2 linked regions of the Neodiprion lecontei genome follow. The protein of the gene in region 2 purifies or fractionates together with the protein of the main gene of each other region. This does not show direct contact. Links are inferred from orthologs where the notes say so. Each region holds a gene or a part of one and is shown on either strand. Other genes may lie near its edges.

What was found.
Region 1: the proteins of MRG/MORF4L-binding protein (region 2) and inhibitor of growth protein 3 purify together in Homo sapiens (co-immunoprecipitation; 4 studies listed by BioGRID and IntAct, counting the BioPlex papers as one, with this or other methods). This does not show direct contact. The link is inferred for Neodiprion lecontei from reciprocal best matches to the Homo sapiens genes MRGBP and ING3.

What each region holds. Positions count from the first base shown.
Region 1 is NC_060265.1:31,030,451-31,038,635, reverse strand, and holds inhibitor of growth protein 3, read left to right. Parts: upstream 1-2,045; 5' UTR 2,046-2,155; coding exon 2,156-2,183; intron 2,184-2,645; coding exon 2,646-2,717; intron 2,718-3,091; exon of another isoform or gene 3,092-3,280; coding exon 3,281-3,640; intron 3,641-4,329; coding exon 4,330-4,744; intron 4,745-4,875; coding exon 4,876-5,074; intron 5,075-5,198; coding exon 5,199-5,315; 3' UTR 5,316-6,642; downstream 6,643-8,185. Other genes in the region: sideroflexin-2, read left to right, coding at 16-82, 158-257, 331-378, 482-596. UniProt on the Homo sapiens protein: Component of the NuA4 histone acetyltransferase (HAT) complex which is involved in transcriptional activation of select genes principally by acetylation of nucleosomal histones H4 and H2A.
Region 2 is NC_060262.1:41,134,219-41,139,883, forward strand, and holds MRG/MORF4L-binding protein, read right to left. Parts: upstream 3,250-5,665; 5' UTR 2,987-3,249; intron 2,935-2,986; exon of another isoform or gene 2,700-2,934; 5' UTR 2,426-2,699; coding exon 2,323-2,425; intron 2,235-2,322; exon of another isoform or gene 2,220-2,234; coding exon 2,098-2,219; intron 1,961-2,097; coding exon 1,591-1,960; intron 1,427-1,590; coding exon 1,272-1,426; 3' UTR 1,155-1,271; downstream 1-1,154.

The DNA.
Region 1 (8,185 bases), on a different chromosome or scaffold from region 2:
TACGTTTAATTACAGATCGCTGCAGTCAAGGGTATCAGTCAAGTAACTTTTTCAAGGATCGTTATGTGCGCCCCAGGAATGCGTGAGTAACGTATGCAATAGAAATTTTCAATTTCTAATTGTCTGACAACGTTATCTCAATTATTTCTTTATACAGTGATTCTTCCGCCAATTATGGCGAAGCTGGAAACGTACGGCTGGATGCAGAGGATTAAACCACTTCATGCACCAATTCAAATTATGCTAGTCGGATGTTTGTGAGTAGATGCATACGCACAAATATCTCATCAACGTTATGGAAAGTATTTATTCTGTGACTTTATTTTTTAGCCTAACATTCATGGTACCAACTGCTTGCGCTCTGTTCCCGCAAAACTGGTGAGTTCAAGTTTCATCATACCGTGACGTTTTACGTGAATTATGTTATTTTTTTAGAAAATGGAAACAGAAAAAAGAAAACGATTCCTTTTGCTTTTTACAGCTCCATTGCCGTGAGCACTATTCAAAAGTGGGAGCCAGAAAACTACGAGATTTTGAAGAAGAATTGCAAAGACGGAAATGTACCAAAGTTCCTGTACTTTAATAAGGGGTTATAAGTATTTTCATCGGCGTATCGACGTAGCCACGTGGAAACGGAATGGTGCTTTCCGTTGCATCTTCGTTACGAATCAAGCGAAATTGCTTGAAAGTAAAATGAATGGATAATAATATAGAAACGCGGAATCTCATAAAATATATACCATAATATGCCATGAAAAATTATTTAGGCAAATGGGGACTGGAAACCGAAGTTCTTTACTATTTCAAGAAAATTAAATTTATTTAATACCGAGTTGATAATGTTGGTGATAATACTCAGATTAGGTTATGCAGATCATATGAAAAATATTAATGCAGTAGTAAGATAGGGGCGATGATTATTTAGCAATAATTGATGGTTATCATCTACAGAGATGACGAAACGTATTAGTTGGCAATACTAAAATATCAGCTGTGATTATTTTCTCATCTATTCGTCACTCATTATGGAGTACAATATGCCTATGCATTGGCAAATTTCCCATTCAACATTTGTAATATCAAACGCCAAATACCTGTACAGATAAAAGTATACGTACGTTATTAATAGTCATTTAAATAAACGCGTTTGACCATAATTACACGCATTATTCTTAGCATTCTTTTATCCCTGTGATTGAAGAAGATAGTTTTGCAAAACAAACTACTCATTATGAGCCAAGATAATTAACTTCAAGATTTATGCCAATGGTGTAAAAAGTTTAATTTGATAAAACCGTATTTGTAAAGTAATATATAGACATGCTGCACAAATTCATTATATATTAGGACGAGCAAGTGAGGGAGCTTGCGACGGTGGTGGAACGTAACCAATACGCTCCTGTAACTCAGTTGGTGGAATTTTGCCCCAAGCTGGCGGATTGAATCCTGGCTGCTTCTCCGCCTCCTTTTTATTTTCCCGTTCTTTCCTTATAGCCTCGAATTCCAGCAAATCATCGAGCTTCAGGTCGATCCGTGTTGGGCTACGTCGAATCATTTTGTTCTACCTAACAAAAAATATGTATGCCTGTGCCTCTAAGATTGGTATCTTGACTATCATTCATGTAGCTGATTCTTCGCGCGAGTTTAATGAATTTTTACTTCAGGGATAAAGAATTGATCAGAACGTAGTCAAGGCATTTTGAACAATGCAATCACGGGGTTCTAAGTAACGACGAATACGACCCTGAATCTATCCGCCCCTGATATCCTGACTCGTGTTTTTCAAGATGGAGGTCAGGATCCGACGGACAGACAAGATCTGCGCTTCGTCGCTAGGCAGAGATATATTAACAGTGAATATTTTTTTTACGTCTGTAAAATTGATGAAGGGAAGCCACCGGCAGATTGAAAAAGAATCAATATAATCGTTGGCAGAAATAGTGATGAATCGCTTATCCTACAAGAATAAATAAAATTACCAGTATGAATGGGTGAATGTTTTTGGGTGCAGCACGCAATCAAGTCGCCGTAAACACGCTTCCCGTCGACTGCTGAGATATAATAAATTTCCGAGTCCGTGGTCAGCACCTCAGTTTCGAAAATAGTAAAACAACCGTAGACCCAGGATCCAGGAACTGTACGTCGGCTCGAAAGGATGCTGTATCTTGAAGATTACGTCGAAAGTACGTAAAATCGGAGACGACAGCACAAGCCCGAACTTACAAGGGACCTACTAACCTTAACGAAGGCATTCGGCCTCGACGAGCCTCACAAATATCCTCGTAAAAATTAAGATCCCATCAATATCGCGTTGTAGTTTCGCGTGTTCGTTATTCATGGAAAATTTTCGTCTTCTTTTAGCCCGACATCGACACCGTCATCTTATTTGATTGTATTAGACGTGAATTATTTAGCCTTTTGTAGGTTAGGCTGATGTTATTCGGACGTTTAGTACATCAAGCCAATCTCACTACCCACAAGTTTTGCACTACTATTAATTCCGACAATGTATCAGGGATGTTTCAGTCCCGTATAAATTGATTTCTTGCCTCCAACTTTGCTTTTCATACAATATTCATCCGTTTTATTTGAACCACCGTTTGGTTATGTTGCCTCGAAACTCCAACTCCGCTTACTTTTTCTAGTGATCGAACATCTTCCGCAGGAGCTGCGCGACAGATTCACTGAGATGAGAGAAATGGACCTGGGAGTGCAAAGTATACTATTTTATTTTCTATATTACTCAGGGTTCGTACGCACCAGGAAAATATGGAAGGAAAAGTTAGAGACTTTTGAAAACAAGACTGGAATTTTGAGTCTGTCGAAGGACTAAGCTCGTTCTTGTACAAAGTACTACTAATCTTGAGACAAAATAATTGCGCTTAAAATTTTGTTTCCTTGCACCACTTCGTACATTCTATATATATATTACTTGATACCAAACCGTTTTTCATTTTCTTCTTATGGAAAATTGCAGGCTGTTGTTTGTAAATTGATAGTCAGAAAGTAAGATAGTTACTAGGTCATATTGAAGGTATTAGTATTAATTTGTAAAAATATTGTCATTAATCAGTGTCTTTTTTGTTGAAAGGTTACTGGAAAATTCCTATTTTCAAGCAGGAATACCTGGAAAAGTCAGGGAATTTCATATTCCAAAAAGCGTACAAACCCTGTTACTCTGCGTGTCATAATGTAAAAGATTATGGGATACAGCGCAAGAACCGAGTCATTCTACCACGATTGTCTTCGTAGTTTCAATAATCTGTTGTAAACTTTGTAGACTCGATGGATAGCCTGGAGAAAAAGGTGAAAACCTTCTTTTCAAACGCCAAGAAAATGAAGCCAAGTGACAAGGAGGCGGAATATGAAACGATACGAAAAGACTATTACAAAACTTTAGAAGATGCCGATGAAAAAGTGCACTTAGCTAATCAGATGTACGATTTGGTGGATAGATACTTGAGGCGACTTGACCAAGAGCTTCATAAATTTAAAATGGAACTTGAGGCTGACAACAAAGGAATTACAGAAATATTAGAAAAACGATCCTTAGAATTGGATCAACCGCCAACCAACAGTAGTCAAAAAGAGAATCGTTATAGTTTTACTTCTACTAGAACTCGGGACAGTCACGGACATTGTGAGTGTAAATCGTCAATTATGGACGTCAATAATGATACAGTAGCGCTCGAAACTATTTTGATAATATGAAATTTGTAACTTCTTTGATCAATCGTTTTTCTTACTTTTCTTTGTTTTCACTTTATTTTTGAGCAATCGAGAGTTAATTTTTAACAGTTATGTAGAACATCGAATTTCTTTCGACCAATAATATTATTTATTTTTGTAGTTTTTACTTGTATGTAATTAACTGAATTACTATCTTTGTCAAAATACTTTTGAGCGCTACTGTATATTCTCAATTTCTAAATCGAATTTCAAAAACATGTCAGCTGCAGAATATTCACATTTCACTTTACTGTTCAAATTATCATATTTTCTTAAAATTGCTACGTCTGTTTGGAAACTTGAAAAAAATAAAATGAGTTGTGAACCAGGTCATCTGATTCAAAACAGTTTACAATGATGATAGTTTATATTTTATCTAGCGAAAGTTCAAAACTTCGTCACAATCACAGAGAAATCTTGCTAAGAAAACGTGCAATGAACCAATTTTACTTGGACTCCCCTTAGCTACCGGGACTCAAGGGCTAACAGATTATAAATTATCCCCAATGATACTTTCAAGTACTTGTGATCTGCTGTCATAAACGGTTCTTCAAGTAAATTTCTGTTCAATCTGGTATTTATTGATACTTTTAATTGCAGCACGGTCAGAGAAACGGAGAGACTCCAACGCGTCCTCGGTATCGGTAGAAAAACGATTAGTGATTGAAAAATCGTCGCAAAGTCTTCCAGAATCACGACCAGCCTCGGCAAATTCTGGTCCAATAATTGCAACTACTCTGCCATCCGCGCCGACGGCAATAGCTAGTACAGTTGGTCCGGTCAATTACGGTTTAGGGCATATTGGCGCTGGTGGTAACGCGATAGCTGCTGCTGCATCGCAGGCAATTGCTGCAACGCAACAAATGCAGCAGGGACGGCGAACCGCCAGTCTTAAGGCGAGCTATGAAGCCATCAATACCGGAGGTGTTCACGCGGCTGAATTTAGTAGGGAATTAGCTGGTGCTGCACAGACTGCTATAGCTGCGATTCAAGAAACCACCAAGAAACATAAAAAGTATGTATACTTTGAAAGAGAAGAATTCAATTGGCCAAATAAGACTTCGGGGTACAATGATCAAAGAAAACCAGATTTTCCTGTATTTTTATCTCCACCGACAGAACTCACTAGTGTTTCTTCGCTTGCAGAAAAGTTAATACTACAGTACCTAGTACCAGTGTGATACCAGCGGCAGTTCAACAACCCGTCTCTCCACCTGGAGTAACGGCTACAGCAGCAGTGACAGATGCAGATAATACAGATTGGCCGTACGACCCGAACGAGCCGAGATATTGCATATGCAATCAAGTGTCTTACGGCGACATGGTTGCTTGCGATAACCAGGATGTGAGTATCAAGCGTTAAGATGCTTACATTTGCTCTATGTATTATTTATAAAAACAGATGCAGTACGCAGGGTTTTCCTCCCATATTTACTTCGATTGATAATTATTTGCAACATTTGTTTCAGTGTCCGTTTGAATGGTTTCATTACCCGTGTGTCGGAATTTCTGCGCCACCGAAAGGAAAATGGTATTGTCCGCAGTGTACGTCTTCTATGAAGAGGCGCGGTGGTCGGAAAAATTAATGAGGAAAGATATTTTTTTGAAATATAAACACTAAGGATAAGGAAAAGTAAAAACAAAAACCGTAAAAAAATGAATACTACCTCTTAGCTACTATCTGCCGATTTATTATCATCAATTTACATAGAACAGTCGACGCGAATCTGATGTTAGGTTTTTTTGTTTTTTATAACTATAGAATATGAATTTTCAAGTTTAAGTTTTGCTCTTGTATAGCGCAAAACCTGATTCGAGTCATAAACTCGTGTTTTATAAATGTGAGGGATATAATAGCTTAGTTTGAGAAGTACCTAATTAAACTGCGTGGCATTCGTTTTTTTCCACACGCCGCGTTTTTACCTGGGGATTATCTTGCAGTTAAAAAAAAAGATGAGAAAAACGAACAATAAGAAGAAAAAGTAAACTCTCTCAACATTGGCGAAAAATGTTTTTTTACCTCAGATATTACGTTCAACGGTCCCCATAAGTTCATTCGTTTGTAACCTTATTGTGACCTTGTCTCTCTCTCTCTCTTTAAACGATCTTGATGTGTTTCGTATAGAATTTGTGACCGTGGTCAAGCTTAGCCAATGTTGTATCGATCTTTCGATCGTTACAAGTTCAGTAAACAATGAAAAACATACCAACTATATAAGTGTTATGTGCTTTCAAAAAATAAGGAAACGGAAATGAAAGAAACGAAAAAAATTTCACGAAACTAAAACGACTAAAAAAATGTTTTAAATCTATAAATAAATGTAGCAAACATAATAATGTGTAATAAGATGTGTGATGCGATGGCACGATTTGTCGGAATCGCCTCATTATGAACGGTACAACTCCTGTCATTGTAGATAATTGTAGGTCCATATCGTCAGTCGGTGGCAGAGCTCAAACTCACGAACAAATGGGGAGGAAAGCTTTGGAGTTGAGATGGCGTAGAAGGGTTGTAGCGAGAAAGACACTCATTCGTTCATCACTTCAACAATCCCTGGTTCCAATTTCTCACAAAGATAGAAGTTGTACTGTACATTATTCCGTTTCTCTTAATTATCTTACCGTCCTCAGTCGTAAAATAATAAAAGAGACGATCGGTCAATTGTGGTACATTAACAGGCCAAACTGTCATTAGCAAATCCAAAAGTATAAACAAATTTGCATATAATCATCTGGAATTTGTTTTAACGGAGATTGGTGCAAGGAGATTAGAAAAAGAGAACAGAAAAAAATCATGTAAATTCAAGAAGAACACAGGCTGACTACTATTTCCGTAGGACTAGGACTATGAACATAATAAATGTAATATCTTGACGTGTAATAAATTGAACGAAAAAACGGCAATTATTTAGACTGTGTGTTAACATTAATATCCCCATCTTCCTGTGCAGTATTGTATTATGTCCCAGGTGAGCCCATATCACACGACTCCCTTGACATGAAAATTTGGTACTTGACAAAGGAATTTTCAGAAATTTAGGAATGTTTGAAATTTAATAAACCATGATAAATAAAATGTACTCATATTTTGCAAAGCCAATTTTACATCGAAAATTATTCTAAAAATGCGCAATAATAATTTTTTCTCTGATCTTTCGTTACGTCAACATTACTAACTTCAGCCTCATGTTTTCATTGGATATTCCCCCTCCGCCCTCGACGTTTCAAATTTAAGGTAGGCCTAACTAGCGTATACCTAATCTGACGAAATCGAGAGTTGTATTGCGATGGAGCAGAAATAGTTGACATACAAACTGAGGAGTATCAATTCCGTAATCAAAAATGCGTAAGATATGATTCTTACATATAACACGGGAGGCAGATTAAACCCGACGTACATACAAAACACCAAACGAAAGAAATGCGTGACCGCCGGTGTCTGCATCCATCGAGGGATTGCGTAGGTGTACATCGATAAGAGTGTGTATAACACGCACAGTGAAATTCGAGATGCTTTCCTACATGCTTACAGGCACAATAATTATGTGTAATAATTGTCAGATTACCTTCGGAAGGTGCAGGATGACGAGCAGGCATACGATCCGTGTTGCACAACGCACGATATTATCACCGAGGCACAAGTCACAAACACTGTCGCAAGGACGTTGAAGCCGTTTAAACACATAACAACAGCGTCGCTTCAACTTCTTATGTCGATACGCGGACCGCGGTCATCGCGCCGAGTGACCGAAAATAACGTCGGACTAGGTACGAGAGCGGTACCTAGGTGTAAGTGATACACCGCGAGATGCTGACAATGGCTCGGAAGCATGTACGTCGCGTAATTAACCCATCCCAGCGACCGGCGCGATTCTCGTCCCTGTTTTCACTTGCGAGACTGACCACAAACGCGTTCTTCGTAGTTCGATCATATTGAAGTTAGTTACGTTATCGTGACGATTCCGTACTAGGGAAAAGCCGTTATTTCGCGATTATACGATTGCCTGAAATTCAGTAAACCGATCAAAACAAAACAACTAACTTCAACCTCGTATCGTTCGACGGTTGACGATCGGCGCTGCATCGGCAACTTCACGACGTACGGAGGACAGTCAATTTGGCGGGAAGGCGTTTTTCCATTGTTTCAGAGGGGAGGAATGCCGGAATGTCAAGTTAGACAACCTACGAAATCTATGGAGATGATCCGCTAAGGCGATAAGCGCTCTTTTACGCTGCTATCGCGTTTTGTAATCACAATATTTATTCCCGCGTACTATCGTAGTAATAGCAGTCTGCTATGTCCTCGTGACGGTGTTATTCGCATAATTTCGGAGATTTGTATACAGACGACCGGTCGTGTCGACAAAAACTTTTAAATTCCGCGAGACATGGCTTCTTGCACGTGTAGACCGTCTTCGCCGCGGAATGGGGTTATTAACGACCATTATCAAACGTC
Region 2 (5,665 bases):
ACAAATTTTTATGACTGTATTTGAACTTCACAACCAACTAAGCTAATTCCATATGAGGTAAAATTCTTTCTTATGCGCAATTCAATGCGGTGAGACCCGCTCTAACCTGCCAAAAATCCAACCTAGCTAGCATAAGCGTGTCTTAACCTTCATTCCATTCACGTCCTCGGTCTGTCATTGTTTACAACATTCAATATACGTGCCTGACAACGAGTAAGAGCGTAGTTTAAATTTGTGTTTACAATTATCTGAGGCTTCAAATACGATAATACCGTGATATATTAATCATAACTATCCTGTAATGGTCCTGTGAATCATTTTTCCTACTTCATACAAGTGTCAAAGATAGGCCCTGTGCACATCCAAGCAGAGTGTAGCATACCAAAAAAAAACCTGAAAATATTGCTAAACATTCAACCGTTACTTTACTTTTGAAAAAGTCACCCGATTCATAAAATTTCAACGTAATACATCAGCAAAAATCAGAAGACGAGGATTTACTATTTCAGATAAGTATTGTTATCTTGACCATTTCTGTGATCGGTGTCAAATTTCAGTTGTAACACTTTCTATTGTACCAAGCTTGGACCTAATCTAATGATACTTGAAGCTGACGGCACACTCATTCATAAATTTTGTGTAAAGTGATGTGAAATATTTCCATTTGATTGCGAGTACAAGTATCAATAGCCAACATTGATGGTTAGGGACAGGTATGATGTTGAGTCAATGTACAATACATTTTTATAAAAAAGTGTAGTACTTTTATTTACATGGTACATTATTAAATCTAACCAGATAAAGATACGGTTCGATTTATGATTTATGTTTTGGCTGTACGTCTTAAAGCAAGAATTCATCTGTTCTCTGTTCAAAACTTTCAAATACATGTAATGCAAGCTAATATTTACATGGTACATTGTTAAATCTAACTAGGTAAAGATACAATGTGATTTGATTTATAATGTTTTAACTGTTTGTTTCAAAGGAATAATTCATCTTTTCTCCCTTCAAAACATTCAAATACATGTAATGCAAGCTTTGCATTACATGTATTTACATGGTACGTTGTTAAATCTAACCAAGTAAAGATAGGGTGTGATTTATGATTTATGTTAAGCTGTTCATTTAAAAAGAAGAATTCATCTGTTCTCCCCTCAAAAGCTTCAATTATATGTACTGCAAGCTTTGCCTAACTCGTAGGCAATTCGTTTATGTTTACATCATGGGGATAAAATTGGATATATATACCACCTAAAATATCCAGATTGTTATATTCTACGTCGCTTTGGCGGTGGTGTATCTCGTGGGCTTGACGACGCTTTTGATGTATTATCTACACTTTGTCTTGTCGGTCTTTTGACACCTCGCTTTGGACCATCACGGCTTGATTCAGAATCTTTCCTTTCCTTTTTGCCGGCCGAAGCTGCAAAAGATCGGCGCATTACACAATATGTACGAATTAGGTGACAGCTATTGGAACACCATATAATAAGTGCTTGGCATTAATGATTCTTGTTCAATGTTAGAAAATAATTATATTTCCTTTAAAACAAAAGTATAATTTGGCTAAACAATCTGCAATCCCACCTGTTTCATCATCGTCCTTTCCTTTGGGACGTCCTTTGGAAGATTTGTGTTGCTCCTTTTTTATATCCTTGGAGTCGCGAAGCTTGTCTTTCTTCATATCCATTTCTCTGGTAGGCTTTTTTGGCTCTTCCTTTTTCCTGTCTGGTTCTTTACTACCTTTAACTTCTTTGGGAGGAGGAATATCTTTCTTCACAATATCTTTAGAATCTTTATCCTTCCTCATTTCCTTCTGTTTCTCCTTTGGTTGGACTTCTTTACTTTTTACATCTAATTCTTCCTTCTTTCTCAATTTCATCAAAGAAGAAAACTCCGACTCCGGAAGTGCAAAATCAGTCTCATTGCTCGGAAACGGAAGATCTTCCATATCATCCTGAAACGTAATTGATCAAAATTTTTATTTAAAATTTTTAGGACTAGTAACGAAAAACTGAACTTTTGTAGTGTTATACATTTTATTCAAATTTAATTTGACGAGGGATCAATGAAATAAATCACCAGTAAACTCACCAGTGCTGCTAAGTCGTACATTGATTCCAGATGGCTCCAAACAACTTTCAACGAAATATCTTTGTGTATTGCAGCGCGAAATTTTTCCCAGATACAGACCATGTGGAAATATTTGTTGATACCTGTAATTCAGATTTCTGTACATAAGCTAACCTCAAAATTAGTTCCGCACGAGAATCTGATTTCTTCATTGTATCGTGTATTTTGTAAAAATGAATATCTTACCTACTGGCTTGTGACCGTTCATGGCAAAAAATAATTGTATTTCATTGTCAACATTCCACTCTATTTCCTCCGTGTGGTCAACTTGTTTTTCCTTGACAGCCATCGCGTGAGGTTGGCCTCTATCGTGTGGTATATATCACTTAAATGCGAAATAGCGTGGAAATAGGCCAATTCAACGGAACCTAACCTAACTCGCACAACAAACTTCACTCGTCTTCTGTAGTTTTCTAAATCAAGTATCGGGTCGGACGCTTGCTTTACCTACAGGTGACTCATTTCAGTGGGTGACTCACAGCGAGTAGGCCCCGCATTGAGAACCAATCGCATCGTTCCCTTAGACCATACAGAATCAACTGGACATTGGAGTAGTGGGGGTACTACCGAGTAAAGAACTAGGATAGTCATATCGATATACACGCGCGCACGAATAAGCCTTGTACGTACTACATGGTAATTCTTGAAATGTAGGCTCTGAAAAAAGCGCGTATTTTGATACGCTCTAGCTGTGCAATTCACTCTCGGCATGCCTAAAATCATGCTGTTTAATTATGTGAAAAATGAATTTTTTAAGTTACCTTAAAAAATGTATATGCCAGTGAAATTGAGATAACCTCAATAACATTGATATTTGAAAAAACCGAAATGTAAATACTGTCATACATACGTATAAAAGGTGACACGCGTTTTTTATCGACCGCTTCTTTACAATTAAGAGCCCAGCAATATTTCATTTCATTTCATTTTTTTACTTATTTGATCACAACAAAATTCACAGTAATATTTATTACATTGCGATTATGATTCCTTATAGTCAATATTATTATTCTGTTGACTTATTTAACATAGGGTATGGAATCCTAACATAGCAACGGTGCTGTTGAACGCGGCAACGTTTACTCTGTAATAGAGCATTTCGTCTCTCTTCTACAAATGATATAGCGTCGTCCGTCTCTTTTGCTTTACTGGGCAGCAAGCCGTACCATAGGCAATGCACAGTTCGTTCTCTATGGTCTAAGCAAGTTGCGGTCAAATAGTTGTTGTTCTGGAGATACTTTGCGCCATCTCTCGGGCTGATCCTCAATTCGCAAAATTATGCCGGATTTCCATGTATGCATCAGCTGCGACATATGCTGACGGAGGGGTAAACGAAAACGAATATTAGCCAGATTGATACTTACGCTTGCGTCAAGTGCTCTCAGGTGCTAGAGCATGGATAAATCTCTCTGGGAAAAGTTTCTTGTGTAATTTCATTTGCCTAAGCATAGCTTCACTACACATACCTATGAATCACTATACAATCGCCATACATCATATATCTGATCTGATGCAGGACACAGATTGGGATACAGACCGGAAAAATATTGCTGATCGACGGTCGCTTTATTACGGTCTGAAGGTAAAACAAGCCTGACCAAACCGAGCAGTTGCTCCAATACGGATATATATTTCTGACAAATTTTTAATATATTAATAATCTCCTTTTCTCCAGCTGCAGGTACCGGCATTTTCACAATGCCTGTGTAAGATTGAGTCTAGTGACTACTGCCGAGAAATTCCGGGATTCTTATTTAGCGTCTAAAAGTCCTCTTCAGTTAAAGATCACTATGCTTATTGTACTTAGTGCTATACCAGTACTCCGATTCTGACTTATTTTTAACTCGCGAAAGCAGTGATAAGTGCCATCTGAAGCAATCAGACAGCAGCTTTAAACGGAAAATCTTCCTTTCACGAATACAAAATAAGTCAGAATCATGCTCCTGGGATTCACACATTTTAGCGAAATAATGAAAACGGCAAATTATTGTTGTTCATCAATGTATCGGCAGATGAAAACATGGTAAAAAAATTGTAGTTCATGCGGAGTCCGATTTCGTCAAATATGGTTGTGATTAAGATAGCTGCTACCGTAATAACGGAAATAATTAGCGGCAGAGAAGTAGGAGGTGCAGACAGAAGTAGACAGGTTCGCGAGACCGTCAAAAGGGAGCGGAAAAAGGTAGAGAGCGATGATGACTAGACGCGGTCCGCTGCTTCAATCTTTTCAACTGAAGCAACGCGGGAAGCATAAACCTGAACGTTTGAAACAACGTCGAGTTGAACAACCCTGCAGCCTATATACGTGTACATAACTGACTATTGTAAATGTATACGTAAATGAGGAATTCTTGCGATCATCAGGGCCAAACTTGAATAAGAACAGAATATTCTTTATTACAAGAACCTTTTGAACATTCATTAAAGTAGCGCCAATCCATGCAATAAAACTCCTCAAATAATCGGCAGCATAAAGTCAACGTATAAAGTTTCGGCAGCTCTCTTGAATCTAACATAACGCCAAAGAAAATTTGTATTCATTCAAGGCATCGCGATCAACTTTCCTGCACCTTGATTGCAATCTGACGAACTGTTCAAAATATCACAGTTATTCTTTTCGTATACTGCGATGTAAATATTTAAAGCCAAGAACTACTTGTGCCTAACACCATTGATTATACGTACATGTATACTACTTTTTCTCCTTCATTTTCTCCTCCTTCTTTTCCTTGTTAATGCAAAATTATGCGCCACAATTGTCCGTACGTAAGCCATGCTTTATACAGTATACACCAATGCAGTTTAGTTGCATGGAATTCAGGTGCCAATAAGTGATCAAGCGAAAGATATCAGCGATGAATGGTGAAATACTTCCGTTGCTTATATATACAAATATTCTGAACTCTCTCTTGTAATCAGTAGTAATTGAGCAGACCATTAGATAGTAAGCAATTACGGATATAACGACACTTATTACATATAATATCCAATTAATTTTTCTTCGCATAATTAACGGTAAACTTCAATTCCGCAGTAGAGTCTACGCCACTTCCAACATGAGAGGTAGAGTTGAAAGGAGGACAATCTTGGCCACACACGAATAGCCGCATCAGAAATTTTATAAAGTAGTGTTTTTGCCTTAAGCTATAAGTGCTTGTGGTATTGAGCCTGAGAGTGGATTCATAGACTTATGCAAACAAGGAAACCTCGCGTGGTCTCTCCCTCCAATCTGAAGCAATTCCTATTGTCAGGATTGGCTATGATGATTGTGCAGGCGGTAGAGAAAAAAAAACCGGTTAATTGTCAATTTTTAGAGGCGAAATGTTCCTTCAACAATAATATATTTCAAACGAATTGTGACTCAATACATTCTTTGATCACAGGGATTTTTTTATCATAGTTTAAAAGGACTTTAAAAAATAATCAATTTGTCATTGACCAATCAACAGTGTCAAGATTGTTTCGAATCCTTATTTACATTTTCATCTCTGCAAAAAAAACGTTTAGTCAGGATCACTTGGCTGACTGA